4 linked regions of the Lepisosteus oculatus genome follow. The protein of the gene in region 2 interacts with the protein of the main gene of each other region in a pairwise test. Links are inferred from orthologs where the notes say so. Each region holds a gene or a part of one and is shown on either strand. Other genes may lie near its edges.

Region 1 (7,368 bases), on a different chromosome or scaffold from region 2:
GTGATTTACATAAGGGGTTCACTATCACGATCCCAGAGGCCCACATACCTGCCGGTTTTTGTTTCCTGCCAAGCTCCCACTTACTCAATTTAAAACACTTAATTGACTTAAGAATAGGATGACTTTGAACTGACTGACTGTTTTCAGCTCTTACACATGTTGGGTCTGCCTTTTTACCATTTCATGAGTCAAGTAAAAACTCAAACAATGGAGTGAAACAACTCACGAATCAAGAAACATGTAACGTCAATTAAGGCTTCAATAAGGTGTAAAGCTGAACTGGAACGAAAACCACTCGGTGTGTGAGGATATCCCAGACTAGAACGTGGAACCATGGCTCTATATACTGTACAGTAACAGGTAAGACCAGATAAGACATGGATGAGATTCCAAACCTTATTAATGTGGTCCACAAATTCTGGGCTGGACAAGCACTCTTGGGGTGAGCTGTAGGGAGTGTTGTAGTGAAACAGGCCGAGCAATTCTGGGTCCAGCTCAAATAACCTGTCAGTGAAATACAGAGAGAATCGATATTCATACGTGTGTACAGGATATTTGTTTAAGAAAGGAAGAGCTGAAGGTACAGTAGCAGTCTATTCAAAAACTTAAATCAGATATACCCTGTACTCTTGTAATCACTTTCATTCCTCATCCATTTCCTTCTGCAAGTCATAATTAAATGTTGTTCTGGTTTTGAAGTGAGATAATCAATATTTCATCTCAGGTAGGGAATTGTTTTTGCATCAAAGGAAACAGATCCTACAGCCTTCTCCCGGACCCACCGTTCACATGACAAAATCCAACAAAATATTATTTCACCGCAGCAAGACAACTTGTTGCTGTCTGTCTAACACACACGTCTCCTCCAGCAGCAGAAGATAAATGAGGACCTCACTGTCGCCAAGCAACGAGCAAAGCCTCCGGCTCCTGTACAGCTGCACCATGTCTCTGCCTGAAACCTGTGTGTGCCTGTGGGGGAGTGTCTGGGCTGTGCAGGCCTCTTGCAACTTTCTTCATTCTGTCTCATTTTAAATCGCTGCTGCTACTTCCCTTGTGAACTGCAGGCAGTGTCGCAGTCTTTTACATTTTGCGCTCAAGCTCTTCTTTGCTCCTTTACTTTGGAGTAAATGAGATGTGCAAATGCCAGAGCTACTCACAGGGTAAGCAGCTCCCTTGCAAATTCTGTTTTTTCTAAATACAGTAGTTACCAATATACTCTATACCTAGATCGAGCCTGGTTTAACACACATGACAAACAGCTGTGTGTCATTGCTAGACTGCCATTCATAGGTTTGGCTCTAGAAGAAATGGCCAGAGCAGCCTAAATTGTCCTTAGGCTAGGGACCAGATAAAACCTGATTCCTCTCACGATCACAACTAACTTCTAATCAATACAATGCTACGCCTGAAATCCAAGAAAGGATTTTTTTTCTTAGCTCACTTCTACCCAATTTATTTTCTATGCTAGCACTCTAACAAAACTGTCAATACTGTTCGATTTTCCTACTAAAAACCGTAAGGAGACTATTTGGCACACTGATAAAATTACCTCTATAAAACAGAAAAATACTCTTCTAATCAGAAACCCATTTCGAATGTAGAAAATGCCAGTTTTGAGCCTCAGACTGGAATTCTGAATGCTAGCCAAGGGAGCATAACAACACATTATAGTAAACTCTTTCACAAAGCTGCTCCTACAACTGTCATATCCTTCTGTTATCTGTCTGTCAATTCTCCACCTGTGGGTCTTCGCAGCCCATATGTTAAATGTGAAAGAAAGAGATATTGGACATTGTACAAAGAATATATGACAATACCTCATTCCGATATCCATAGAAAGATTTAAAAAAGCATTTCCACAATCTTACACTGTACAGTAAGTAAGCACATCTACAAAAGAACACATTTTAAGAGATAAGCAGTTGTAAGGCTCAAACACAAAATCAGTTGTGTGCATTTAGGAAGGTTCTCGTCAAAATGTAGTATTTTAAATAGACAGGAGGTTAGCTTTTTTTTAAATATGTTATGGTTTCTGGACTGCAGTCCATTGGAACACTGCAACTGGCTTTTATATGGTGTAACTCTGTCCAACATAGTTTTTTGGGGTATGATCAAACCACTTTCTTTAAACTTGTTCTCTTTACATTATGCATACCAGATTTGCTCTAGCTGTGGATGTGCAAAGCTGGTCCCTGCAGTGTAGTATGAACCAGGACTGTTCCTGTCAGTCTGGAATATGGACAAGTACCTGGTAAACATGATGGTCCCATGAGTGAGTTTGTTCTTCCCGAGTCTCTCCCAGCTGTCTCTGATCATTTCCTTGTCTTTCGCTGTCAATTTCTCCATCGTCAGGTTGCTTCTGAATTTCAGCTCACCGTGTCTTCAGTTCTCCTCCACTTGCCGCTGAATCTGAGAAGATCTTTCAGCTTCCAGACCCATAATATTCTGGCAGAAAGCTTCAGGGATTTTTTGTTTTTCTGTGAAAACAACAAAACACCTTGTTATTCCAGCAACCATCATATTGATCTTTAAAGCATAACAGAGCACAGATTCATTGTTGAAAAGTGTACATCTAGTTTCCTTGAAAATACCACATTAAAGTAATGTTTAATTGAAAAATGCTAGATCAAAAGTATTTTTCTTCTCATATTCTAAATTTTAAACCCTGGTTGCAGTGTAGAGATGGAACTATACCTTTGGCAGTGAATGTTGGAAAATAAAACCCTCCTCTCAGAGATGTTAGAGGCTGATTTGGAGTGCTGCCCACTGTCTGTCTCGGGCTCAAGAGTCAGAGGGAGATCAGCCCCAGTGTTATCTGCCAGCCTGACTGCTACCTTCCTCTCTATCGCTCTGCCTTTGTTCCGTCTTCAGCGAGAGATTTTTCCTCCCCAGAGCATCTGTCAGTCTGCAGCTCCTCCTGCAGGAGACTGTGCTCTGGCCCTGTGCTCGCGGCAGCACTGCCTGCTCTCCCTCCCAGCCGGCACAGGAGACCACTGTCACATGGCCCCTGGCGCCGAGACGCACTGACACCCTCCCGGCGTGTCAGCCTGTTCCGGCAACTTTGGCCGCGTTTGTTTCCGCGTGTGACAAAAGCTGCTTCGCCAAGAGAGATGCTAGGCGAAGATGCTCAAAAAAGAAGCAGAACCCTTTCGGCCAACAGCGAGGTGAATCTCCCACTGCACCTTGGAAAGGGTCTCCAGGAGATCCCTCCTATGCATTTGCAATGCTCTGATGTCTTGTTTCTCCTTTCCAAATTCCAATGCCAGGCCATACCTGTCACCCCGAAACACAAAGGTTACAGCTGTGGTGGGCAAATTTGTATCCAGCAAACTGCCCAGTTACAAAATTCTGCAAATTATTTATTGAAATGACCAAATTATTGTTTCTGGGGACTCTCTTTTGTCTCTTTGAAGATCTTTCTCTTCTAACGCTCAAATGGAACATTATATAACTCAGATGAAAGGCGAGCCACTTTGCCTTCAGGCAGTTGTCAAACTGGCAGGTGATGACAGTTCAATCAGTTTGGCTCTCCTTGAAAGACTAGTTCCAGAAATGACCACTGACTTCAAGCACTGTTAATGTACAAGGCTTTTACAATACTATTAACAACAATCAGGCCCAATAAAATCCCTCTCTGTGCTTACCCAAGTTAGTGGTCAAAGCAACATATTAACATTATTATCTTTTATTATTTAAGATATAGTTTCTGATTAAAGGCCATTGTCAGCTTTATTTTTTTTTATTAGGAATATGACTGTAGATATCGCATATCTAACAAAGGCACTTTGGTTGATGCTACTACTATTATAAGATGCATAAAATCTTCATATTTATTGTTATTTTATTATATATTTTTTCACAACTGCTAGACAGAAGTCTATCAATCCAATAATGAAAAGAAAGTTAATTTTAATGTTTACGGAGGAAGCTGCCAAATTAGATCATCAATGCAGAAGATCCTGAGCTTTTCAAAGCTTATCTTACTTCTAGATATAATAAATAGAATTCATCACATTCATACAGAACTTTTTATCCTGAAGGATCACAATTTACTTTACAGGAAGGAGTACACTTCATCCACCTCTGATTTTCTGTGACACTAGGCAGCCATTTTGCACCAGAAGCTCCACTACACAACCGATCAGGCAGAGTAGGGAGAGAAATTATTTCACCACGTTGAATTAAGGCTAAACTTTTGGAAGGCCAGATTGTGGAAGCCCAGAGCAGAATTTAGCCAGGACAACAGGGTTAACACCCCTCTTACAGAAGTACAATGACATCTATAATTATCAAGTGATCGGTGTCCCAGTCTAACATTTCATCTGAACGGCTGCACCTCCAACAGCGCAGTGTGCCCATATTAAGACATATTGGGGACTGACCTAGAAATTCTGGCCAGAGAAAAGACTGCCACCTGCTGGTTCACCACTGCAGTTCTTGTCTCCCACCACAGCACTGCCGAGGTCCAGCCTGGTTTAGCCTCTCAGGGCAGATCAGATCAGACCAGAACAGGGATCCAGCCCAGGTCCTGGGAGAAACCTATATCTGCTGGTTTTCACTTCAGCTGAATTGTTCATTGCTGGTGCCCATCAAATGAATTGAAGTGTTTTGTTCCAACAACCTTAGTTTACAGAAATCCATGTTGTCTCTCTTCAACTTTTTTATTACTCACTTATTACTACGTCTTAGTAGGAGATAAGTTAATGCCCAACAGGCACAGTTGAGCATGAGACATCAAACACTCCCACTGTGAGTTTTGTTTTCCTTATACAGAGGTCCACTTGGTTACATTTGAGCTAACCTGCCTGAATGAGGGAAAATGTTTGAGAGGAATCCCAATTCAGTGTTGTAAGAGCTGAAATCAAATTTTAAAAGAATGCCTCAAGTAGAAAATTGAAATCAATTAGCCTGTGATTAAAAATTAAGGCTGGAACAAAAACTGGAGGACACAGGGTCCCAAGAACCGGACTGGGAAACCATGGGCTACACTAGATGGTGGCAACACTGTGGTCATCTATTCCTCAGGACAGACATTGAACTTTGCTAGCAGACTTGTGTCTAAGGCCAGTCACAGAGATAAAGCAGAAAACCACTTAACAGTAACAGCTCCAGCAGAACCATTTTCAAAAGCCCTCAAAATTTTAATCCTCACATTTGAAGGATGGAGCCTAATATAACTTCTTACTCCTAGTGACGAACTGTGAGTCAGTGGAAGTTCTAGGCTTTGTAAAGGGAACTATGTTTTTTCCTTAAACACTCTGGATCGCCTTGCCCAATTACCCATAGTTCAATACTACTGAATATTGAATTAACGAAATTATAATAAAATAGAGATTGCATTATTTGGTACATTTTTATTATGCGGTTGCAATGGAAAACGGAAGACATTAATCTCTCAATCTGTACTTGAGAGATTGGTGGATATTATAATGCTAACAACTGAAACAGCGGCAATAACATTAAATCTGCGATGCTGCCCTTTTCATCATAGAGCTATGTTAAACGGAACACGAACGATAACCATTGTACTGACCATTTACGGTGTACAAATATATAAAAAAATAACCTTTCTACTGTTTAACATTTCTGTCATATCATTATTTTAAAGTCAACGACTAATATGCCCATTCCTGTCATGCAGGTGCTACCAAGAATTTGCCTACCGTGGTTTTTGAAACAGGCTGTTAGCGCCTACCTACAGTACAAACCAACTGGTTAAACACGTTTGTTAAAAAAACAAGCTCAGGCCGCCGTCGCTTGTCCCAATCGGGCCCCCGTAGAGGGGAAATATTTGACACACGTTTGTGTATAAACAGAAAGGGGGAAAAGAACATTTAGCAAAACAGAAAACTTCGGAAAACAACAAAGAAAAAACACGCAGGCAGCCTGAAAACAAGAAAAAGTGTGTGAGTAGATCGTCAAAAACGCTTTGCAGGGATTTCTAATTCAAAGAAATCACGAACGTAGTTACCAAAACAAGACATATGCAGGCGGATATTCCTTTTTTAAGGAAATGGGCCTGGTACGGGCTCTTTTGTCAATTAATTACCGTTAGTTAGTATGTTTATGATATTCATATTAGCTTAGCAAGAATCAGTGCTACGTTTAGTTAACTTAACGATATTTAAGTATTATTTACAAATACTAAGAATTTTAAAACAATGCTCCACTTACTGCGTTGTTCCACTTGCTATTTGTGGAAATAACTACACTAGTAATTTTTATGTAAAGTGCAGTATTCGTATATTATTTCTGTAAAAAGTTTCAAAATAAATATTAAACCTAACTTTTCCTCCTTTTACTTTTTGCCGTAAACCTATTTTTCTATTTGGCAGGAATGATTAAAAAAAGGTCGCCTAGTTGTTCTCGCATGAATAATGTTTCATTTGGAAACTTCTGAGTTTGGGTTATCGAACATTTAAATTGATTTGTTTGCTTGTAGTTTTCAGGAATATTTCGGTGCTTGAATTGTAGAACAAGACGAGAACTTAGCATGGAACATGTCTCAGTTCTCCTGTAATGTAGCCTTCCTGTTTTAGACACTTGGTTGAATTTAACCTATGGGCTTACGTTCAGTGTCTGATAACATATGATTAATTGATGAGAAGAGTCGTTAAGAAAGCTGAAGTAGAGCAACTTGTAACAGAGTTATTCTTGCTATATATTTTGGGAAATGTAAAAATAAAGGAGATTATTAATATGACTAAGTCCTAAGAGCAGGAAACCGCTTAAGCTCGATTGGTAAAATTAAAAGTTATGTTGGAATAAAGGCCAAGACAGGAAAATATTCTGCTTTAGTCCAATCGATTGCAATTGTTTGCTTTGTGAATTAAAGTAAAAATGTTATAGTGTGAAATGTCTGTGTTTTCCACCACTGTCTACTTAACAACATTAATACAAATTCTTTAATTATTTTTTAATTGTTGTCTCCCTGTTTAGTTATGACAACAGGCAGATGAAACTAAGGATAAGAAAGACTACCTCCAATCCATGACCACATGAAAAGGATTTTATTTTGGTAATTCGTGTAGATTTTAAATGATCTCTTTTAATGTTAATTAAAAATCTGTTTTTAAGATCATTAAGAAAAAAGGTAGATAAAAAACTTTCTTGGAGAAGTCTGAATGGATTAATTTGAATTGTAAGAAGTTAGAGAGGGTATATTTGCATCTATCTCTACAGAATTGAAAATAAGAAACCTAAAACTGTATTTTTAGTGTCTGAAAAATTATTCTTTTTTGGAGTCAAGACATTTTCATATTTTATTGCAGATCTCCAAGGTTGAATCCATGCTCTCTGATGAACTGGACTCCAAGCCTGAGGTATGTAGAAGTGAAGAAAAAATCATAATTCTTCCTACAAAATAGA
Region 2 (6,912 bases):
ACCATTGATCACACAGTACTCATTGTACTGAAAATGTGTCCCTTTGTGTTCATAAAAATGAGACGTCTTCGGAGAACTGTATTTAAAAAAAACGTAAAACTATGAAATTGCTTATGGCTGACCCTTTATCTGAAGCTGCTACAGCACCTCCTGGGAAAATATATTCTGAGCTAATGTGTAAGTAGAATATAACATGGACCAGGAGTTCATCATTGCTTTTAGTAATTTCCTTGTTACAGTGACCCATCTCAACTTTCACAAGGGCCTTGACGTACCTGCTAGATCTCCTTTATCAGTTTTATTTGCTTGCACTGGTTAGCATTGTCCCTGCCTGGTCTCTGACAGACAATGCCAAAATATTTCTTCCCATTCATACATTTGTACAACATTCAGTAAATGATTGTTACTTATTATGCTTCAATAAAGGAAGACTAGATAAAACGAAGCATTCAAAATCCAAGAGTTAAAAAAAACTAGGCATTCTGAATTGGATGTCCCGACAGTCTCACCTTCAGCTCACTTCCTAGAAGAGTTCCAACTCCATCTTTCCAGTCCATTGCACTGTAAACATCAAAGTCTTGAGCTCCTAGACTCGCAGGCGATTCTTCCATATCTTTTAAAAAAGTACAGCACCCTGAAAAGCACCATTTGGGAAATGAACAGCCTCTTCCCACAGATCACAATGGGACCTGGATCCCTCAGCACAGAAAGGTGAAATCGCACCAATGCCAAGCGCCGCTGTATTCACAAAACTTCTTTCTAGGTCTTATGCAATTAATCGTAAACATGTTTTTAATTTTGCGAAGTAAGACAAAAACTGCAAATAGTGTAGGCTTTACACAATTAAAACACAATTTAAATAATTTATGAAACAAATGCAGGGATTTTTTTAACCCAGCCTGTCTTTAGATTTAAATCTATAATTTTCTATTTGTTATTTACAAGGGAATAATGTTTAATTGTTGTTATGTGCCTCCGCCACAATCATAGGCTCCTCTGTATTCCTCCCACAGTCCAAAGCCATCCTGTTCTGATAGGTCAATTGGCTTCTGGGAAAATTGGCCCTGGTGTGATTGTCAGTGTGTACGAGTGCCCTGTGATGGACTGGTGTCCCATCCAGGGTGTATCCTGCCTTGTGCCCATTGTTTGCTGCTATAGGCTCTGGCTCCCCTGTCACCCTGAACTGAACAAAGTGTTTACAAAACAGATGGATGGATAAATTGGATTTGTATAGTTTTCTGATGTCACATTTTCATGCTAATTAGTCCTATTCCTTAGGTTAAAATTTAATTCTTCCTTTTTTTCGAGGGAAATGAGACAATGATTTTTTTTGTATATAATAACGTATATTCAAACCTGTTAATGATGGGTGCAGAACAGCTCATCTAAAAGGACAAAATTACCTAAACGCTGGCATTTATCACCGCTAGAGGTCACCATTGCCCAGGTTAATATAATTCTGCGCTTGAAACTTTCGAGAGCTAATTTAACAATGAAATGACAATGAAAAAATGGAGACAAATGTTCTATATTATAGACCATAATTCATGATACATAAAAGATTGTTTTCATCAAACAGCAATAAAATTCATAAGGTTATCCATTACTTGTGCGTTACACCTTTATTTAGTAATTTCAGTTATGCAATTTATCATATATACGGTTCATAATATGCGAACAACGTGCTAAAATTTGCTTCAACTATGAAAAAAAATAATACTAACAGCAATATCTAACTAAGTCGAAGTCTTCTATTAGATTTATGTGTTTTCATTAATGATATTGAAAGTATCTACATTTTCTTCGCGCTTTCTCAAGGCGTTTTATTACAATACGTACAGTACAGGAACAATAACGGCCATAGATCACGAATTCAACAGACTTCATTTCATTTCACGGTAAAGGTGTGAGATACGTAACGCAAAACCAAAATGAAGAGAATAAAAAAACTGTCATCACAAAAACTGACAAATATAATAAAATTACTCATGTATTTTATAATTAAGGTAATCATTATTATAATTAACGCATAAGCGAAAGACAAACACTTCATGTTCATGTATTCCTTTTCATCTTGCTGTCAATTTCCTTTCCTCGATATTGGGGATTTTTTTATACTTATTTTTAGATCTCTTCCTCAAATACTTTTCTTTTTTCGGTGAATAAGACACAGTTCAGCGCAAGTTTAATATTAAATTACTTTGTTTCTTTTCACTTGCGAAACTAGGAGCTTCATATTTACCGATGTCCATGCCCACGCAAGACGCGTATCATGCATTGAACTGAGGTCCGTAGCTGATAAACACTTTTCTTTTCTCTGATACTATTTAATGTGTTTTTAAAGGCAGTTTCCCAAAATGGCGGAACTGGAATATACTCTATATAATTCTCATCCACAGGCCCTTAGACACGTTGCATTCAAACAAAAAAATATAATTTTACTTACTATAAAGCCTAATGAAAAGAAATGGTGGCTTAAATATTTATCTCTTGCCCTCTTTATCTCTTGCTCCCAGCGCCCAGTTTCTGCTGTTTCTCACCCAGAGGAAGGAATTGCTCTAAAACTGGCATTATTCTTCAAAGAGTTCAAATAAATCATAAAATTGTCGTCTCCTGCAAAATACAATGGGAGCCAACAATGACTTCCATCGTAAGCAATAATTTTCTGGGCTACTTTTATTGTAATTTTATTGTGTAATTCATTTCATGCTCTATCACACTCAATCCTCTTCCTGGCTAAAATTATTGATGACACGTCCAGTCGATTTGTACTTTATTTCTAAGTTTCAGGCTAATTAAAATGCGGCAAACCTAAAACGAAAGTAAAAGATAGTCCCGTACACCTAACTGTAGGGAAGAATTTGTTGCACAAACATATTGATTTAAAAGTATTGTTGTTTAAATTTGTCTGTTTCTTACCCAAATTCTCTCACGAGTACTGACAAATTGCTCAGACACCATTCAATGCGCATGAGCGGAGAGACGAGCGAGAGCTGCAGAATAGCCTATAACACATGATACCGAAGTTTTGCCAGCCTTAAAAAATACGAAATCTGTTCATCTACTTATAGTTTACTGTTGTTGTCCTTAACAAAGAGACGTCAAGACAAATAGTTGTCATTGGATCGCAAACTATGCTGTGCAGATGTAGCACTTGGGAAATCAAATTTCTATTTGTTTCGTTATGAGTAGTAGCGGTTACCATTTTGTTACTCAAAATATACTAGCTTGTAAGTGAGCGGAAATTATTCCCTCTTTAAAATAACCTTTCAGATTAAATCAGATGTTTTGAAATAATTCGTACTATACGTAATCGTCTTTTTTTTAAAATAATGACTAATTATTACAACCTAAAGGTATAACTTCGGATATGTCATGCGTTGGACTTTATTGCAGCGTTTCAATCTATTTCTGGATACATCGAAACGAATGAATGAACGCAAGTGAGGCTGTACATAAATAAAAGATTTATTAATGTCGACACGGAAACGTAAAAAAAATATCCGTACGAAAGTATTTTTTTCCCGAAGTAAAATATCAACACTAAGAAGCTGAAATACTGTGTCACTTTGATTATGTAAATATAATGTTGATTTACAATATTGAGTGGTGCTTTTTCCGTTGTCTCTGGATTCGATCAAATTAAAACACTTTAGTCATTCTTTATAGCAGGTGCTCAGATATCCTCTTGAGTTGATAAAGAACGTGGCTCATATCGATCCAGTATCAATGTATTGGCTGTTTGTGTAAACATACTGTACACGAATACAGTATGAATGGTCGAACAAGCGATACAGTACTGTATAAGTGTGTAGTATTTTAAACCCCTTCAGAGGAAGATAAATCTGAAAACATGTTCAGCTAAACAAAAAAGAAACATTTTGAAACCAGATACTGTAGGTTCTTTAAGATTTACATGCGTTTTCTGTCAGTGCATGTTGTTAAGAGACGAAGTTTTTTTGTGGAAAAGAGACTAAAGATAAAGAGGGCAGGCATGTGACTTAGCTAGATGGCTGTTCAGTGTCCCTTATTCAATATTTTGAATCCTGACTTCTCTGTTGTGCATGGAAAAGGCAGTTTGTTTTAAGATTGTAAGGTGCACGAGGTGATGGGACATACAGTACAGTGCAGTACTGCAGAAAACACTGCTGTTCTTTAATCTTTCCTCTTTAATCATTCCTAATTTCTTCAATTAGCTAGCTAAAATCAATCACTGCTATCCTATACAATGGAGCACATCAAAGTATACAGAAGGTCACAGTATAGATGATGCTGATCACTTTCAGGAGAGTGAGCTACTGTATATAACAGACTCCTGAAAAAGACTCAAAACGATGTCCTCCACACTCTGTTGTTAATCTTCTCAGTTCTCTAATGGGTCTTTCTGTCCAGCCTAGGCTGTTGAACATGTAGCTGTAGCTGTTTGCACTATTCCACTGTGGCACATACTGTAAAAGCAAGTTACCACAGAGACAATCAAGCCACGGACAATATCATCAAGATTTTTGGGAAATGCAATATTCCACCTCCGGCTTGCTATTTCTCCCTCATCTACTGGTGGAAAAGCACATTCACTTTTTATTCAGTTGCGACTTAATTCCTCTTCTACATAATGGACTCCCGCATTCTTGAGTTTTGTTCACACAGTACAGTCAGCACAAGTGTGTTACAGCAGCATTGCTCCTAGGACTTGAACATACTGTACTATATGACCTTCTCTTTCACAATCCTAACTGCTGCTCCTTACTGCAGCTTACGGTAATTGCTCTGTAGTTTTACAGTATTTGTGCTATTTTATCTCAGTATAATGTGCTATACAGCATATCATATGGAAATTCATAAGTGACGTTTAGTAGGGATTACAAGAAGTCCATCTCACCTAGGTTAAATCGTAATCTTTTCCCAATGTTTCCTACTTATCACACTCAATTTTTACTTTGAAAGATGTACTGTATTTTGCATTGTGTCTCATGTGTCTCTCCTCTATCCCATTTTCACCTTTCTGCTGGTTAAATCCCCTGAAATGGCATCCTGAGTCTTCTATGTTTATGGCCATTGGGCTGCTCCTTTACCAGGTGGGTAATTATACTATACCAAGTCATTTATTATACTTGAACTACTCAATCAACATTCATAAATCATCTGATTCCTGGATGACATTATTCCTCATGAAGTATAAATGTTTTAACTCCAACATTATCTGAACTTTGATTTCACTTCTGAGCAGTTCCCCATTCCTCACTGGTGTCTGCTTGAATCTCCTTCCTAAAATATTCTCTGTGATGTGCCGATGGTGCTGAGCTCTTATCTGGTGATGTGCATTCAATTCTGCTTTTGATATCACATTGAACATTCATTTTGTGCTGGACTTTGTTCTTCTTCTTCTAAGAAGAAACTCTGCAGAGACGTAATAACATGAGAAAGGTTACTAATGCCAGGAGGCCATTCGACCCATTCTCAACATTTGGATGCCAGTAGCATAAGGAGCCAAGAATTCCATCGAGAAATCCCACAGGCTCAGCTTCAATATTTTGGCAAGGGAGCTTGTACCAGGCTCCCAAGTTCCCCTATGTAAAGGAGTGTCTTCACTTTTCTGTCCAATATGCTCCTGAAGTTAATTTCCACTTGTGTCCCAGGTTCCTTACAATGTTGGTAATCTTGAAGACGTACAGTTCCCTGTACTGACTTGGTCAATTCCTTTCAGCTTTTTGAACACCTGAATTAAACAGCTCTCTTAATCACTCCAAGTATGACATTCCTTCCAGACCACGACGTAGTCCTTTTTTACCGCATCTAGAATAGCAATATTTTTCTACAGTGTGCAGAATTGAACAAAATATTCAAAGTGAGACCTTAAATTTACATGGTACATTACATGCCTTTAACTACAGTATATTACCCAAATTTTTACCAGCCATTTTACTATTGCTTTTGCTATTTTTACTGCACTCTCTAGAATATATAAGTATTGAGTCAACATGAATCTGAGATATTTTCCATTCATTCCTTCGCTTCTTGTCCATTACCACCTACAATTTTCTTTACTTAGACAATACATTATAGCTGTCTGCACAAACTTGCATTTATCTAGTTTGAATTTCTTTTGACAGGTACCTAAACATTCTCCAGATAGTGCCTCAGATTATCCAAATAGTGCCTCAAAAATGACTTGCATTGTTGAAATTTATTTTCAACTCCACCTACTTTTGCATCATCTGCATATTTATCAATGTTACTTCAATGTTACTGTTACCACCTACAAATATACCAGAGTCACGATCATTGATCTGTTTTTATAGATCTCAAATGTCAAAAAGCTTTCATAGAACATCCAGTAAACAGTCTAGCTAATGTATTTGTTAGACATATTCACTGTATTTGCATTTGAAGTGACTAGTTTTTAATAATCACTTAAAGGCTTCAATCCAGTCATTAACAATTAGATAGGCTGGTGTTTTTTTGTGTTCATCTGATTCAATTGTATTTGTAGGTCCCATGATCTTTCCAAGCCCAGTCATTCCTGTTCAGTTTTATTTTGTATATTTTATCGATGTTACACATTTTTTATGCTGTTTCCTGTACTGTAAATTCCTGTTTAGCGCTGTGATGCCACTTTTTCGTTTTGCTGCCAAAACCAAATCTAAAACAAAGCCTTATTAAGTAAAGATAATTAGAAGTGCTTTCTGCGGATCACAGTTCATTCTTTTAATTAGCTAGAGTATTCCATAACCTCTATAAATGGGTAGCTCCAAGTATCCTTTTGAAACATCCTTCGCAGCCTTCTCCTTCAGAACGGCAATCGGCTGCATACAGTGCAGCCAGTGAAGCAAATCAAAACTATCCTATCCCCCTTTTGCATTAATCACCTGAGCTTCATCAGGCTGTGTATGGGTCAGCTTGCTTGAATGTCTT
Region 3 (7,810 bases), on a different chromosome or scaffold from region 2:
ACTGTTTACAAAAACAGGTTTGTCATTCTGGTTGACACCCAGCATTTGCTGGATTTTAATTCAGTTGAGTCTTCAATTTAAAACCATTAATCCAACTACTAATTTGTTTCCTTGGCTATAATCTGTCCTGGTGCCCCTGTAGTATATATATTCCCAGTATCTCTGGGCCTCTGTACTCTTATTATAATCTGTTGTCTCAATGACTATGAGCTCCAGGAATATGCTCTTTAAAGTTTCTCTATCACAATAAAGTGATAGATAGTGATAAGTCTTACCTGTGGAGAACACAACAATAGAAATGAAGGCATACAAAATAATTTAAGATTTTGTTATGAAGGACATTACAGTACATTAAAATATTTGATGCTTTTTTAGAGTGAGGAATGTAAGGTGTATACCTTACTTATACTAGTCTTAATACAAATATGTGGGATTATCTAACCCGTGTGCCTCCCTTCTATAGCATTCACATGTGTAGCAGTATGTGTGTGCAGCGCAACACAGATGTCAGCTCTGTGACAGGAACAGTACCATGCTGTACGTGTATGTGATGGCTTGGGTGTTCTTGGCCTGGTGTGCCAGTCGGATGGCCTGGTGCAGAATCCTGTTTGCAGCCTCCAGCTCCCCCTGCATGATGCTCAGCTGAAAAACACAATGGAGTGATCAGCAAAGCACTGGAAGCTGCAGGTCAGTACTGTCAGCTAGGAGAATCTTATTCCCAAAGCCTGGTTGTCGTTGTAAGACGTCTGTCTCTTAGAGCAGTGACAAACCCCTTGACAATCCAGAATTTCAATCCATTCACACCCAATGTAAAAGCAGTCTAGATTTTCAAACAGGTTGAAATGATCAGGTATGGTGTGGATTTAAAACCTAGAATGATGGTGTTGGGGGGCACAAGACATGAAAAATGCTGGCTTATAGCACTGAAACACTTTTTAACATGAACTGCTGAACTGCACAAACATGTTCCCCAGCTTATCTGGGGAAGCACTGGGCACTAGGCAAGGTACATCCTGAGTGAGACACCTGACCTTGCTGCATCTCAAACTTTGTTTAAAACATAATAAATCCAATTATCCTTGTATGTATTGATGACACTCAATTGTCCCAGGCACAGAATACAATATAAATATAAGTAGCAACAGTAATTCAAATACACAATTTCTCCATCACAATGAGCTTTGTTTAGTCACTTTCACAATTTTCCATCTACACAAATTAAAAATGCAGGACTGTTTACTAGGGATGACAGAGAAGGGGTGAAGAATTACTTTGAACAGATAAGTTAACTGGAAAGGTGATGTCAGTCAAACATGCTTCATATATTAATGTTGATAAAACCAAGGTACTGGCTACTGACAGTACAGTAATTGTTAAATTTTCAACCTCTCTCCCTTATTAAACAGCCTGGAGAGGCTGTTCAGTGTTTCAAATACCTAGAAATAGTAATAGATGAGCATTTTAACTGATCTGCATTTTTAAGAATGCTAGTCAGCATATATTTTTGATCATGAAGCTGAAAGTGTTTGGGGTGAGTCAAAGCACTTTAGAGAGCATTTATAGAATGCTAGTGGACAGCATCCTTACTTTTGGCATCACAGTGTGGTATGGTAGCCTGGGTATTAAGAGTAAAAGGAAATTGACCAGAATTGTTAATACTGCTAGTAAAATTATTGGTCGACCAGAAAAGAGCAGAGAAAAAGTTAAATCAGATGTATTATATTGCAGTTTAAATTCAAGTTTAATTTATTATTATGATAATTAATGACCCCTCCCACTCTCTTCTTTCCAATTTTCAACAGCTACTGTACCTTCAAGGAGGGTTTTTTTAAAGGCCTATGGCCATAACAAATGTATACAGGAAATATTTTGTCCTATGTGCAATTGGTATATAATAATAATAATAATATATATATATATCCACCATTCTGGATAGACAATAATATCAAGATAAACCTATCCTGACCACAGGACATAGAGCTGTACCCTCCTTTAGATCTCCCACAGAGTGAAAAATGTCCTGATGGCTTTGACATTTCTCCACCATCTTTTTGAAGAGATATCAAATGGACACAAAACCCCCCAACACGTCATCGAATGAAATAAAAACAAACAGGATTGTGTACCTAAATACCTTTGCTCTCTTAAGAAGCAGAATAATGTCGTCCTCTTTCTTCTTTTCTTCATCTTCAACGTTATCGGAGGATTGGGTGAAAAGAGAGAACGCTGAAAGAAAACGGAGAGACATTAAGTACAAACCCTTCCTCTCCAAATTCAAAGAATACTGCGCTTCAACTTGTGCAAGTTTTGCTTTGCTCAAAACAAGGTTCAAGAGGGGCTCCAGTTGTTGCACATCTTTAAGACTCGTAGTCATATTTTATCATTTATAAAGCAAGCTGCTATAGAAATATTAAGGCTAAAACTACTTCTGAATCAGGGAAAGTCTAATAGACTAGTATTCTAGTATTAAGAATCGTAACCACAAGACGACAAAACGAATACAAACCGATCTTCAATAACAAATTATATTTTTAAAATCCTGTTTTAATTACTATAAAGCTCCTCTATATAAAATAAATATCCATGAGCAGTCTTCTATCTAAAGAACAACATGCTCTGCTTTTTATAGCCTAGTACTGTACATATATACGGCAAGCATACTCCTTACATAGAGCTTGTTACATAAAACATTGCATAACAAAAATAAAATCTCACTTGCCTAAAATTCCCCAAATTTGTAAAGTCAGACTGTCGTCACTAGCAGTTTTAGCACCAATACCAGTAGTACAGAGTGTGTATGACCTTCTGTACTGCGTTGGAGCTGCAAGTGACAGAAATCTGTCTTGTCGGTTCGGTGCGCGCCTCTCTACAGAGACCCGGAACCGAGCACCCTGGGTTCGTGTCCAATCCAGTGCCCAGCGTCGAGCTCTAGCTGCCTGGACCTGGAACAGACGTGAAACCCGACTCAAAAACATCCCGGTACGCAGGCAAACGTTAAAATGCACTTAGTTGGCTATCACGTGATGGGGAAAGTACGGTGTCTCTACTGTCATATGACTATAAACGCTTAAATAGCCAGTTCTTATTTTACCGCACCTATAACGACTACTCCAGTTTATTGAAATTATCATTTTAATTCAATTTTCTGTGTGTTTTCCTTGATTCTATGTAAGTCAATTGTAGTAGTGTATATAATGTGTTTTATCGCTCATCAGAAACGAAGCCCTTGTGGTCTTTAAAAGTGCTACGGCAGACAATGGTGTCTGGGATCACTAAGAGCTTCAAAACAGAGGGACGAATCGCACGTGTAACCCAGGCTTTGTTGAATAACACACCTACCCTTTATCTCCTAAGGGTAACTTTGGACAAAACTAAGCTGGAGCTGGACAGAAAATGTACAAGAAATAACCATGGGGAGCTTTCAATCAGGTCTTAAAAGTTACCGAAAGAATAAATCTAGGGTCCAGAAAGCGTATAGTAAAAACTAAAGTTTAACAAACGTAGAGCAAAACGACGAAGCAGTGAATAAAAACACTTCTTTTCTTTGTTCAGAATGAAAACTAAACAGCGGACAAAGGTTGAAATTACAATAGGACATCACAAAGTAAAAAAAAAACATCAGCAAAGGAATGCTTTTAGATTCTCCAGTTTCTTTTTGAAGGTCCTGCTGTAGCAATCTTACCATGGTCATTGTAATTGCTATTAGGTCTAAATATTTCAAATCAAAAGTTATGGGTGATATGGTGGTGTGATGTATAGCAAAGCACTGGGGCCCTAGGTTCAATTTCTAGGGTGGTATCTGTGTGGCGTTTACAGTATGCTCCCTCTGTTCATGTGTTTTCCCTCCAGGTGCTCCGATTTCCTCCAGCTGTCCAAAGACCTGCTGGTGGGTTGATTGGCTTCTGTTAAATTTGCCCTGGTGTGAGTTTCAAACCCAACCCATGTCTCCAGGTTTCCATTTGTAATTACTTTTCAAAATGTTTGTTTTTCAGCTTGAAGTTGTGTGTTTAATTGTGCAAAGATTAAACCAGAATTTATTTTACATGTCCTTATATCAGGCTATAAGGCCACAAAATGTGTTACTTTGGAAAAGTGTAGACTTTCACTTAGAACTGAATCTGGAAGTGCATTTAAAATAAAGAGAGGAGGCTCTTTGTTACACATGAGGTCATAATATACAGTATTGCATGCTGTTTTTAACAGATGACCATTAATAGTCGACACATCCACCCTTAACCTACCATTTTGTCAGAGGATGGGGCTACGCTGAAGTACTTCAAGTTAATGACTTGAAGTGAATATGAAGTGAATCATTGGTTTTCAAAAAAAGAAAAAGAAGGGTAAGGGGGTGAAGGTAACAGAGAATTAAAAGTTTAATTGTGGCAAAACATTATTAATTTAGCTACTTGCAAGGACAGACAGTAAAGACCATCTTTTCTTATCCTGTATATTAAGTATATAATTAACATTATTATGCTTAAACAGCAGTGCTGGTACGTAAGTGTACAATAAGCTGGGATTGTTGATAGGCGCTCAGATAAACTATGTGGCATCAGGACTGATTTTGTTTAACTGCTTATGTTGCAGGTGGTGCAGTGGTTAGCATTGATGCATTGCAGTGCTGAGGTCCCGGGTTCAATTCTAGGCCTCGTGTGCTGTCTGTGTGGAGTTTTCATGTTCTCCCAGTGCTCTTGTGTGTTTCCTCCCACAGTCCACAAATGTACTGATAGGTTAATTGACTCCTGGTCTGAGTATTTGTGTACTGAGTAATATGTAATTAAGTAATATGTGCCTTGATGGACTTCTGTCCCGTACAATCATCTACTTCGTGATAATATCGTAATTATGATCTTCTCTGTGATAATAGTTCTTTTAACAGGTACCATGAATAAGAAATCAGTAAACACTTTGAAGAAGTAGAATTTATCATTCAAAAACTTTAATTTGCTTATTTTTTAAATGTATAGATGAGAGAAAAATGCAGAACAGTTTTCACTAAAAACCCTTAATAAATTTCCAAAGTTTATTTGGAAAATAAACTTAATTTGAATAACATTTATTTAGAACAACAGACCATTACTTAAATTGAAAGAGACACTTTTAGACCATTTTTCAGATTGCCAAGGACATATAGTGACAACAATACTAATTCTTGGCAAAAGTCAGTTTTCATGATGTATACAGTAAATGTGGTTAGAATGAGAATAAAGTCAGTCCTAGACAATTTATCATGTGAAGAAAAAAGTATAATCTCTAATGTTTTTTTTTCATTTTGTAGATACTCTCTTTAATAATTAGATACAAAACACTGCTCATAAATTTAAATCATGCTATAGATTTGCTATAGATTAGATTTGTCCAAGACTGGGTTATTTTTAGCATCACAATCTCCATTTATTATTATAAAATGGTATTGGGAGAAATGTATGTAATTTAAATCTAGTGCATTAATGGCATAAACCAAAGCAAAAGCAAATTTGATGCCATTGAATACACAGTGTATATATAAAATGTCTACATCTGTTTGCCTTAGGTCTGTACAGCACTAATTAAGTCACTTAGTTTTGTTTGTAGCAGAAGAATATGCTGAAGCCTGGACGTACATGTCTTTATAGTTAAGGTGTGATAATTGTATTAAGGCAAATGATGTCCTTTTACAATGTAAAAACATCCAAATATTTAGTACCATTATGGAATTTCAGTCTTGGACTTTGCAATTAATATTTTCCATTATTGTGCCTTGAAATAGTAGATTAAAGATATTATAAAATCTATTATTTCAATGCACCAATCAACTTGTGTCTATTAACCAGATCTTAGTATAAACATAATTTCCCCAATTCTCTCTTAAGTGGACCTTTATCAAAAGTGATCTGAAAGTAGTTATTCACCCAACTGTTAACTACAATTGTCTGCTATGAACCTGAATGTGACCGATACAGGACCCTCACTGTCTAGCAAGATGAGCAGGTATTCTCTTGGGAGATACCCTGCTGTGTACTGCAAAATCCAGTCACAGTCGGCTTCCTTCAACGCTCTTGTGTTGCTTCATCTTTTGGCACGGTGAACAAGATGATTGAATTTCTGTTGTAGCGTTAATTTGCCACAGGCACCGAAATATTATATTGCTGCCATCTTGAACATTTAATGCCATTTTGTACAAAATGACAGTATCAGTTCTCTTCTGGTTCACAATATTTTAGACACAGAAGAGAAAAGGACCACTTACCAGGCTCCCAGAGATTGAAATAAAAAAACATCAAGGATTTAATGTTGCCTTATCCAAACATTTTTCCTTACTTTTTGTTTAACCACTTCTGACACGTGTGGAAATGAGCAACTTGTGGGGAAGGAGGCAATGCATAAGGCAGAAAATCTGCAGTACAAATATATTTGGCAATTGCTTCATTTTGAGGAAAATAAGTGAATTTTATCAATTTCTATATGGTTTTAGAATTACATTTAACACTTTGCTCCTTGCAGTTTTAAGATCATTCAGTGTTCTTTATCATGCTTCTTTTATGCCAATTTTTCAATGTATGTCATTTTGTTTTCATCCTCTCAAAGGATTACATTTTCCCTTAAACACCTTTCTTCCTCTTTTACAGCTGTTGTGCTCTTTTACTGAGAAACATTTGAACACCTACTGCAATCCTCTTCCTTCCCCTGAACTCTTCTCACACCTTTTCTGACTTTCATGCTTTATTAATATAACATTGAAAAGAAAAGTAATAAAGGCCACAGGACAAAAAATCCAAATCCATGCTAGAATGAAAAAAATATTTCTTTTCCACACTTTAATTGTAATTTGCATAATGTGCACATTTGTTCACAGTAACTGCCATGGGGAGTGGATTTTTCTCCAGAGATGTCCTTAGACCACTGAAGTCCTTCTGTCCACCCAAATGATCTTTTTGTTACTAATACTTCAACAATATTAGGCAGTTACTCAAATAAATGTTTATTTCTAATGTCTTCAAATCATTCTGATACAGAATACAACAGACAGAGAGGCCAGCTCACAATGGGCACTGTTTCTCTCACTTGGTCTCACCTTTTCTTTCCATCCATTTTATTCTTAACTAAAAAACTGAAATGCGAAGTATAATGCTTGGAGAGGGTGAGACCTGCTATTTCCCCAAACCACCTATACACCATCTGTAAAAACTGTGTTTTACACTGAATGTATAATGTAGTCAGTGTGTCACTATTCACCGGTCAGTCTGCGCATCAGTGTTCAGTGCAGTATTGTTCAGCAGTTCCACCAGCAGTGCTATGAGCTCAGTATATTGCATCTTTATGTTGGGAGGCAGTGAGCAGGGCTCCCCCTGCAGGCAGTGCTGCACCATGGCATGCAGGGATAAGCGCAGGCCATGCAGAAGCTCCCAGCTCTGCAGCGACACTTCACAGCGGACCAGAGATGAGCCTGCCAGAGACACTTCCACACTGTCCTCCGCCACTGCAGACAGGGAGAGAGAAAGTGACAGAGAGAGGGATCAGCACAGAGATGGGGCAGGGTGGTGTTAATGGTGAGAGGTGGGGAGAGCGAGACACTGTACCTCGCTCAGTTATGTGCCCGTCAGCCAGCAGCAGCAGGGAAAGGGGGTGCACTGTGGAAGAGTCTCTGATGAAGACATTGCCATTGGATTTGACAGCTGTGAAGAAGGTGAGCCAGCGGGTGGGGAAGTCCTCCGCATTCCTGTAGAAAGGGACCAACAGAGCTGACAGGATATAGATCACAAGTAACACTACCTATGAAATACGATCCTAAAATATAAGCAACCACGACCCTTTACAACTGCTCCTTAAC
Region 4 (7,089 bases), on a different chromosome or scaffold from region 2:
CATGAAAAGAAAAAACAGACTTCTAAGAAATTAACCACACTCATTTAAGAGGAATTTGTTGTGGATTATCTTTCTTTTCCAATAAGCTGTTTCACAAGAGGAAAAGAATGTAAGATGGTAAGCACTCAGGTGAATTATTCAGCAAAACATCTTTTCTAATGATATATTTAAACAGATTTATCCATTTTTGTTTGTTGTAAAGTAATCATTGCAAGTAAAGTAAAATAAATGCTACAAATGCTTTGTGATTAAATGGGGACAATAACATTTGCAATAAGCAAACATAAAAATCAATACCTGGATAGTGGCTAATAAGAACAGTCCATTTAGCCCATTTACCTTGTTCGGTAGTAGCTATTTCACCTGCGGATCACCTACTAAAAATACATTTGTACAAATACTTAACATTATCAATGTCAGGGTAATGGTGTATTTTTAGAAAGTTTTAAAAATACAAGCATAAAATAACCTTGGTTGGACAATAAACTATGAATTTTCTTACTTGTTTGTACCTTCCAACTAATCAATTAACATATTAATTTAATTTCTGTGCAATGTGGTGAATACTTTACTAGATATTAAAGGTGAATCAATTTAGACCAGGTCATCGTAGCATTTTACAAGATGTCTGTCTATGGATAACTTTAACTGTACTTGGACCAAATTGTACTGAATTTACTATAATATATGTACTTGAACACATGGACAACAGCATCAACATTACTAACAAAAATGAATAATGATAATGATAGAAGTACAGTTACCAGAAATTTACAAACAATGCTGCACAGCAGTATACAGTACTTCTGACAAGACTCAAATGAAGTCTTCAATCTAGCTGGTGGACAGGACCTTCTCCTGCTTCTTCAAGTGGCAAGGTGGCTGTAAAATTTCAGTTAAGGTCACATCTCTCTGCCTCTCAGAGTAAACAGTACCTCAGATATTACACAGAGCTGACCTGCTCACAGCCTAAGTTAATTTTTAGTTTCATTTGGAAAGTTTTAATTAAAATGCACAATTTAATAATTTTTATATTGTGCCTTTCCTGTTAGGACATCACAAAACAATTTACAATAGAGGTAACAAATCAGAAGAGCACATTAGTACAAATCTTGTCCTTTAACTAATTTAATCAAATTAATAATAAACTGATTGTTCTATAAAAAATGGTGTGAAAATAGCTCTGCATCTTTGTGTCCTCTGTGATAGACTGATGTTCCATCCAGGGTATATCTGTGACCCTAAACTGGATAAGTGGATGTTGAAAGTGATTATGATTTTTTGCTAAACAACACTGAGAATCAATTCAATCTTCAACAGACAAACAAGAACCTATTGTTGACTTCTGTTGTGTTATCTTAGTATTTTGGAAGCAGTTGGGCTGTTGGACATTTTACCTTCTACTGGTGGATGCTGCACATTGGTGGTGGTGGAGGGGAGTCCCCATTACCTGTAAAGCGCTTTGAGTGGAGTGTCCAGAAAAGCGCTATATAAGTGTAACCAATTATTATTATTATTATTATTATTAATCCTAAATGAATTTGAATGGCGAATTGTGCTTTTCCAAGTGTCAGCTCACAGTTACCATTCTTGCACATGCAGAGGGGAAGAAATGTCAGCTGACCTGCTCAGCTTCGAGCCACTTGTGTTTTAATGTCACAGGCACCACAGTTCAGGAGGTTCGGTGCCAATTAGAGAGAGGATCATCCCTCGCTGACAGCACTGCATTCCTGCACTCAAGCTACAGGAGGTGCTGTTCCACCAAGAGCCGAGAACCCCGACTGACTAATCCCACACTTCCCTCAGAGTTATTCGGGCTGTGAAATCCCTTGTGGACAAGTGAAAACACTCAGTCTACAGCTTAAGTGCCTTTCTGGTTGAGCTGCACAGAGGGACATAGCTAAGATAATATTCAGAAGTATGTGAAGCACTGCAAATGCCATACTACTTTGTGTATAAACATGTCTCCAGTGTGATTTATTAGCATGACATAGCTGAAGATGAGCAGTACCTTTGTTTTCCTTACCGTCAATGCTCTTAAAGTCCAACAGGTAACTGCGATTGTCCACCTGATAAAGCTGAAGGCTTTAATTTCCTGTTACAGGAACTCTCAGGTGATAAGCATTCACAACCTGCAATTCACATTAAAGATTGACTCAATAGATGCCAAAAGAATAAGATTGCAAACACAGTACCAATACATTAAATGAGTAAAATGGAAGTGCATAAGTATGTAGTGTGTAGGTACGGTGCCGTATTTGCCCCCTTATTGATTTCCTCTATTATTGCACATTTTTGACACTGAAGTTATCCTACACCAACTGGCACTGTGTGAAAAAGTACTTGCCCCCTTAGTTAAATCAACCCAATTAAAATGATAATTTAGAGTCAGCTGATTGAATACAGCCAGGCTTGATTACAGCCAGCCCTGCTCAATATAAACCTCACTTATTTTGACCCTTACTAACAGAGTCAAGTTGCCAGCACAAAGATTCAACAAGCACCTTATGCCACGACCACAGGAAATTCCTGAAGAAATCAGAAAAAAGTTGTTGATATCTATCAGTGTGGAAAGGGTTACAAAGTCTCTGGGACTCACAGTGAGAGCCGTAAACTCCAAATGGAGAACACTTGGAACAGTTGTGAATCTTCTTAGGAGTGGCTAGCCTGCCAAAATTTCTCCAAAGGCGCAGTGTAAAATCATTCAGGAAATCACAAAGGATCCTAAAAAAACATTCAAAGAACTGCTGGCTTCTCTTGCCTCAGCTAAGGTCAGTTTTCATCACTCCACAATTAGAAAGAGACTGGGCAAAAATGGGCTTCATGGGAAAGCAGCAAGGCAGAAACCACTGCTAACCAAGAAGAACATAAATGCTTGTCTCTCATTTGCCAAGAAGCACCTGGATGATCCCCAAGCCTTTTGGGAGAGTGTTCTATGGACAGATAAGTCAAAAGTGGAACTTTTTGGATGACATGGGTCCCATTATGTCTGGCGTAAAGCAAACACAATATTCCACAGTAAGAACGTCATACCAACAGTCAAACATGGTGTCGGTAGTGTGATGGAGTGGGGATGCCTTGCTGCCTCAGGACCTGGATTACTTGCCATAATTGAAGGAACCGTGAATTCTGCTTTGTATTAGAAAATTCTTAAGGAGAATGTCCAGTCATCTGTCCGTAAGCTGAAGCTGAAATGTAGTTGGGTCATGCAGCAAGACAATGATCCAAAAAGAATGGCTGAAAAGAAGCAAAATTAAGTGTAAGCAATTATTATTATTATTATTATTATTATTATTATTATTATTATTATTATTATTATTATTACTGGAACTATATAAGAACGACAGAAATCGTACATCTCCACCTAGTGTTCACATTTATGTAGTGTAGCATTCCGCTCCCACCTGTATTGGATTTTCCCTTTTCCCTCTCAACCTTGACCCTGACTGCATCTGTATACAGTACACATGTATCATATTATATAAATCTTCTATTTCGCCATGTATTGCTACCGGAGACTGCGGGACACCACTCTCTCTCCCCTAGTGACTAGCACACATACTGTAATCTAAAGGGCAATAAACCCCTTTTGTTTAAACTGAGTACTCTGTCTGCAGCCTCCAGAGCCGCAGGGTCGTTCGCTGCAGTATATAATAAATTTAAAATTTTCTGGCATATACAGTATTTATTTGCTATGGTACATAAGAAGAGCTACCTTTCAGTACACTAGAATACCTAGTACGTCGTCAGTTCCTAACAGCAACAACTTTAATGCTGTTATCAAAGACAACAATCAAACATTATAGTATCTCCAAAAAGACAAGAATGTGACACACTGCATACTGTAGAAATGTCCTTGAAGTGCAGCCACCGTGATTCTAGCGGGATTAGGGTTTTAGCGTGTAAAGAATTAAGAATATTTCTTTCCCAATAACAGGTAAATACACAGGCATTTCAGACACACATTTCGAATTGTGGGGAAGAGTTAATAGGCTGCCGCCATCCTCCCCCCATGTCTCTCGCCAGAAGACTGACAATCACCATAAACAGCATTGCGCTGTCTGGTGTCTGACTTCTTTCGCGTGCTTGGTGTAGTGTGCGTTGTACAGTACTCTTCGCCTCCCTCTGCACTCTGGGTAAAACTACAGAAGGATCACAAATGCAAAAATGGCTGAGAAGCAGAAACACGAAGGCAGGGTTAAAATAGGACACTACATATTAGGAGACACCCTTGGAGTCGGCACTTTCGGAAAAGTGAAGAGTTAAGTGTTTTTTTTTATTTTGTTAAGAAACTGCTACAGCTTCCGACAGACTGTAAATGTCTTTCTCCTCTGCCTTGACTGTGAATGTTAAACCATTGCAGGTGGACACTACGCAAACGGCGTAGCAGTGTCTTGACAGTGTATGGGAGCAGTCTAAGAACGGCGAACGCTTATTTCGTAAATATAACTGAAGAATGGGGAGTGTTTTAAAAAATCCCGAATTCTGTCATCAATGCAGAGAGCAGTCTTGTTAAACGCTTGTAAATATTATGGTGTGCAGTTCATGCTTAGGAAGCAGTAGTAAATCAAAAATCCTGTTTTCTGACATGCAGTAACAATAAATGCGAATGCAGTATTTTGTAAGGTATATACAATCATTGCTTTGACAGCGCAATATTGAGAAAAATCATCACACTTTGGTAATGACCATATCAAATATTATGTTAAACCGATGTAAAATGTACGCAGCATTTTATTCTTAAGGAAACCAGAGTTGATAACTGTGTTGTCGGCTTGTAATTCTGACCTTGTTTCTTTAACCTTTACGCACGCCAATCTATGAGGATATTTTAAAAATGGCTAAATTTTAACTTTAAAAATGGCATTTTAGTAAATTCGTTTAGTTGATACGAGTAAACTGCATCTGTTGCCAAACGGTTTTTTCTGGATTTTAAAATAATATGACCAAAAGAACCAAAGAATACAAGATCCACTCTGGCATGTTACTACTAGAATTAGTGCTCTCCTGGTTCAAGTTAAAATGGTAATTATTGTTTGCTAGGTCAATGTTAAGGTTCGACAGAGTGAGGGAAAGTAATTTAGGAGACTGTTGTCCGGTAATAAGGCAACCACAATAGTTTGCAGCTGCAATAATTAAAACTAAAAATGTCCATTTCTATTAAAGCTGGAAATTCGAACCATTCATGAGAGTACAAAGCACGAGCAACACTACTTTTTCATGATCAAAAGTACCAAGTGTTTTTTAAACGACAACTCATTTTTTTCATTTTCAGCGTTTCACGCTAATATGTCTGCAATATTTCTCAATGTGAATTATCAGCACTGCCTAGACAAACCAGCAAGTGCAGCCACCTGTAGGTTGGAATTTGGAATGCATCCCAGCTTGACCTTGGAAACCACTTTAAAGAGAAGCAAACAGCGTATTTCAAGAATAGTAAGATTTTTAATGGCCGAGTCTGAGGTCTGGACCGGTCAACTTTTGAAATACGGTAATTAGAGGAGTAGACTTATCTATAAAAGATTTATGTTCTAGTGTGATTACGTGCTTCTCTGATTCTGGTTTTAATGTGCTCAAATGTAGGGATTCTGCATTATCTATATTGCTGAAAATCCAAACTACAGTACATGTTAATAAAACTTGGGGATATAAGCAATTGAAATCTCATCAGTGATTTAATGGAGTTTTTAATAACTTTTGCTATACCTTTCCCAAAACTATAAACTCCAAGAAATTTTCAGGCACCCGTTACTTTATCACATACATCTTAGCCATTAGTGTATTGATCTAGTCCCCATGTGGTCACAACAGTCCACAAAACATAGAGATCCATAAGAGGCAAACTTGACATTTCTTTGCTTTTTGTTTAAGTTTTAGACTTTGCTTGGTTGTTGTTGGGGCAGGAGAAGAATTAATACAGACATATTATTTATCCTTTTTCCTATAATGGACTTGTCCTTCACTATAAGGGTAAGGTAAAAAATAAATAGCATGAGTCTTCAATATAAAAAAGTGAGATCAATTGTATGAAATGGTTACATCAGTAACTTTAAATTATTTAGGACATGTACTGTATTGCTAACCCATGGAAGATTATAGGCTGCAATCTGGATGTCCTTAACATGCTGTGTGAGTTTTCAGGACCAGGGGAAAGCAGGAATTAGATAAAAGCACAAGAAGAGAAAAAATAGCCTGGTATCTAAGATAACACTGAACCCTGGGGAGTCTATCAAGCAATTTTGTAAATCACTGTTTTCTGTTTTCTATTTGGTCTACACAGTACTTTTTTTACATTTTAGAAAGATATCATATTCTGTATTTTCTCTGTTGAGGATGCACAGCATATTTATTTGGAGGGGATGTGGATTCACAAGCAGGATGCTGGTTCTCTGAGCATGTTTAATTGCTTTTCTGAAACAGCCAGGCTGTTTTGTAGAAGATGTTTGAAGCTGAGCTAAGGGTTTGAGTGTAACAATTTTTTTACAATGTCTTTCTCCTTCTGTTTTTTGTTTTATTAAATATTGATAGTTCTCACAGAAAAGCGAGGTGTGTTGTCTTTGGCTTCTATCATGCTTCATGTCAAGAGACGGCAGGAGATCTGCTCTCAAATGAGCAATCCTGATGTTCCAGTTTTATACATTAATAGTACTTATCATAGTCTAATGAGAATATTGCATGGGACGTAATAGGCAAACCAGAGATCTCAGTAGACTCTTCTGCCTTTAATATTAACCAGGTTTGTACCTTACATTAAGTCAGTGAATTGATTTCTGTTGCCTTTTTATACTGCAACCATGATTGTTTTAAGATAGAGCAGTGAGACCAATTCAAAAACTTTATAAACCAGGCATTTTCTGATCATAATCATGTAATATTCACCACCAAAATAAATTTGCAGTAATAACTAATGTTCCACAAATATTTTCAGAATGCTAAATTAAAGACTCCAGGAAGGTAGTTTAAATTAATCTTGTAGATTTTTAACAAAAAAACATGGTAGTCTTAGTCTTGTGGTCTATAATTGCTTAATAAGGCATTGAGAAATAACATGACAAACCATACTTAATGTTCTGTAGAATGATTTACCAC

The links.
Region 1: the proteins of l3mbtl3 (region 2) and ngb interact in binary tests that used the Homo sapiens proteins (3 or more experiments, as listed by UniProt). The two-hybrid records come from large-scale screens. The link is inferred for Lepisosteus oculatus from reciprocal best matches to the Homo sapiens genes L3MBTL3 and NGB.
Region 3: the proteins of l3mbtl3 (region 2) and ttc19 interact in binary tests that used the Homo sapiens proteins (3 or more experiments, as listed by UniProt). The two-hybrid records come from large-scale screens. The link is inferred for Lepisosteus oculatus from reciprocal best matches to the Homo sapiens genes L3MBTL3 and TTC19.
Region 4: the proteins of l3mbtl3 (region 2) and prkaa2 interact in binary tests that used the Homo sapiens proteins (3 or more experiments, as listed by UniProt). The two-hybrid records come from large-scale screens. The link is inferred for Lepisosteus oculatus from reciprocal best matches to the Homo sapiens genes L3MBTL3 and PRKAA2.

The regions. Positions count from the first base shown.
Region 1 is NC_090703.1:9,707,480-9,714,847, reverse strand, and holds the start of ngb (neuroglobin), read right to left. Parts: upstream 3,015-7,368; 5' UTR 2,695-3,014; intron 2,478-2,694; 5' UTR 2,347-2,477; coding exon 2,249-2,346; intron 505-2,248; coding exon 396-504; intron 1-395. Other genes in the region: znf410 (zinc finger protein 410), read left to right, coding at 7,290-7,322. UniProt on the Homo sapiens protein: Monomeric globin with a bis-histidyl six-coordinate heme-iron atom through which it can bind dioxygen, carbon monoxide and nitric oxide.
Region 2 is NC_090697.1:3,078,764-3,085,675, forward strand, and holds the start of l3mbtl3 (lethal(3)malignant brain tumor-like protein 3), read right to left. Parts: upstream 3,020-6,912; 5' UTR 2,920-3,019; intron 2,723-2,919; exon of another isoform or gene 2,447-2,722; intron 635-2,446; 5' UTR 612-634; coding exon 510-611; intron 1-509. UniProt on the Homo sapiens protein: Is a negative regulator of Notch target genes expression, required for RBPJ-mediated transcriptional repression. It recruits KDM1A to Notch-responsive elements and promotes KDM1A-mediated H3K4me demethylation.
Region 3 is NC_090701.1:26,039,054-26,046,863, reverse strand, and holds the start of ttc19 (tetratricopeptide repeat protein 19, mitochondrial), read right to left. Parts: upstream 3,016-7,810; 5' UTR 2,976-3,015; coding exon 2,720-2,975; intron 2,227-2,719; coding exon 2,135-2,226; intron 643-2,134; coding exon 532-642; intron 1-531. Other genes in the region: ATP-dependent RNA helicase DHX30, read right to left, coding at 7,212-7,459, 7,560-7,699. UniProt on the Homo sapiens protein: Required for the preservation of the structural and functional integrity of mitochondrial respiratory complex III by allowing the physiological turnover of the Rieske protein UQCRFS1.
Region 4 is NC_090704.1:17,352,647-17,359,735, forward strand, and holds the start of prkaa2 (5'-AMP-activated protein kinase catalytic subunit alpha-2), read left to right. Parts: upstream 1-4,068; 5' UTR 4,069-4,167; coding exon 4,168-4,261; intron 4,262-7,089. UniProt on the Homo sapiens protein: Catalytic subunit of AMP-activated protein kinase (AMPK), an energy sensor protein kinase that plays a key role in regulating cellular energy metabolism.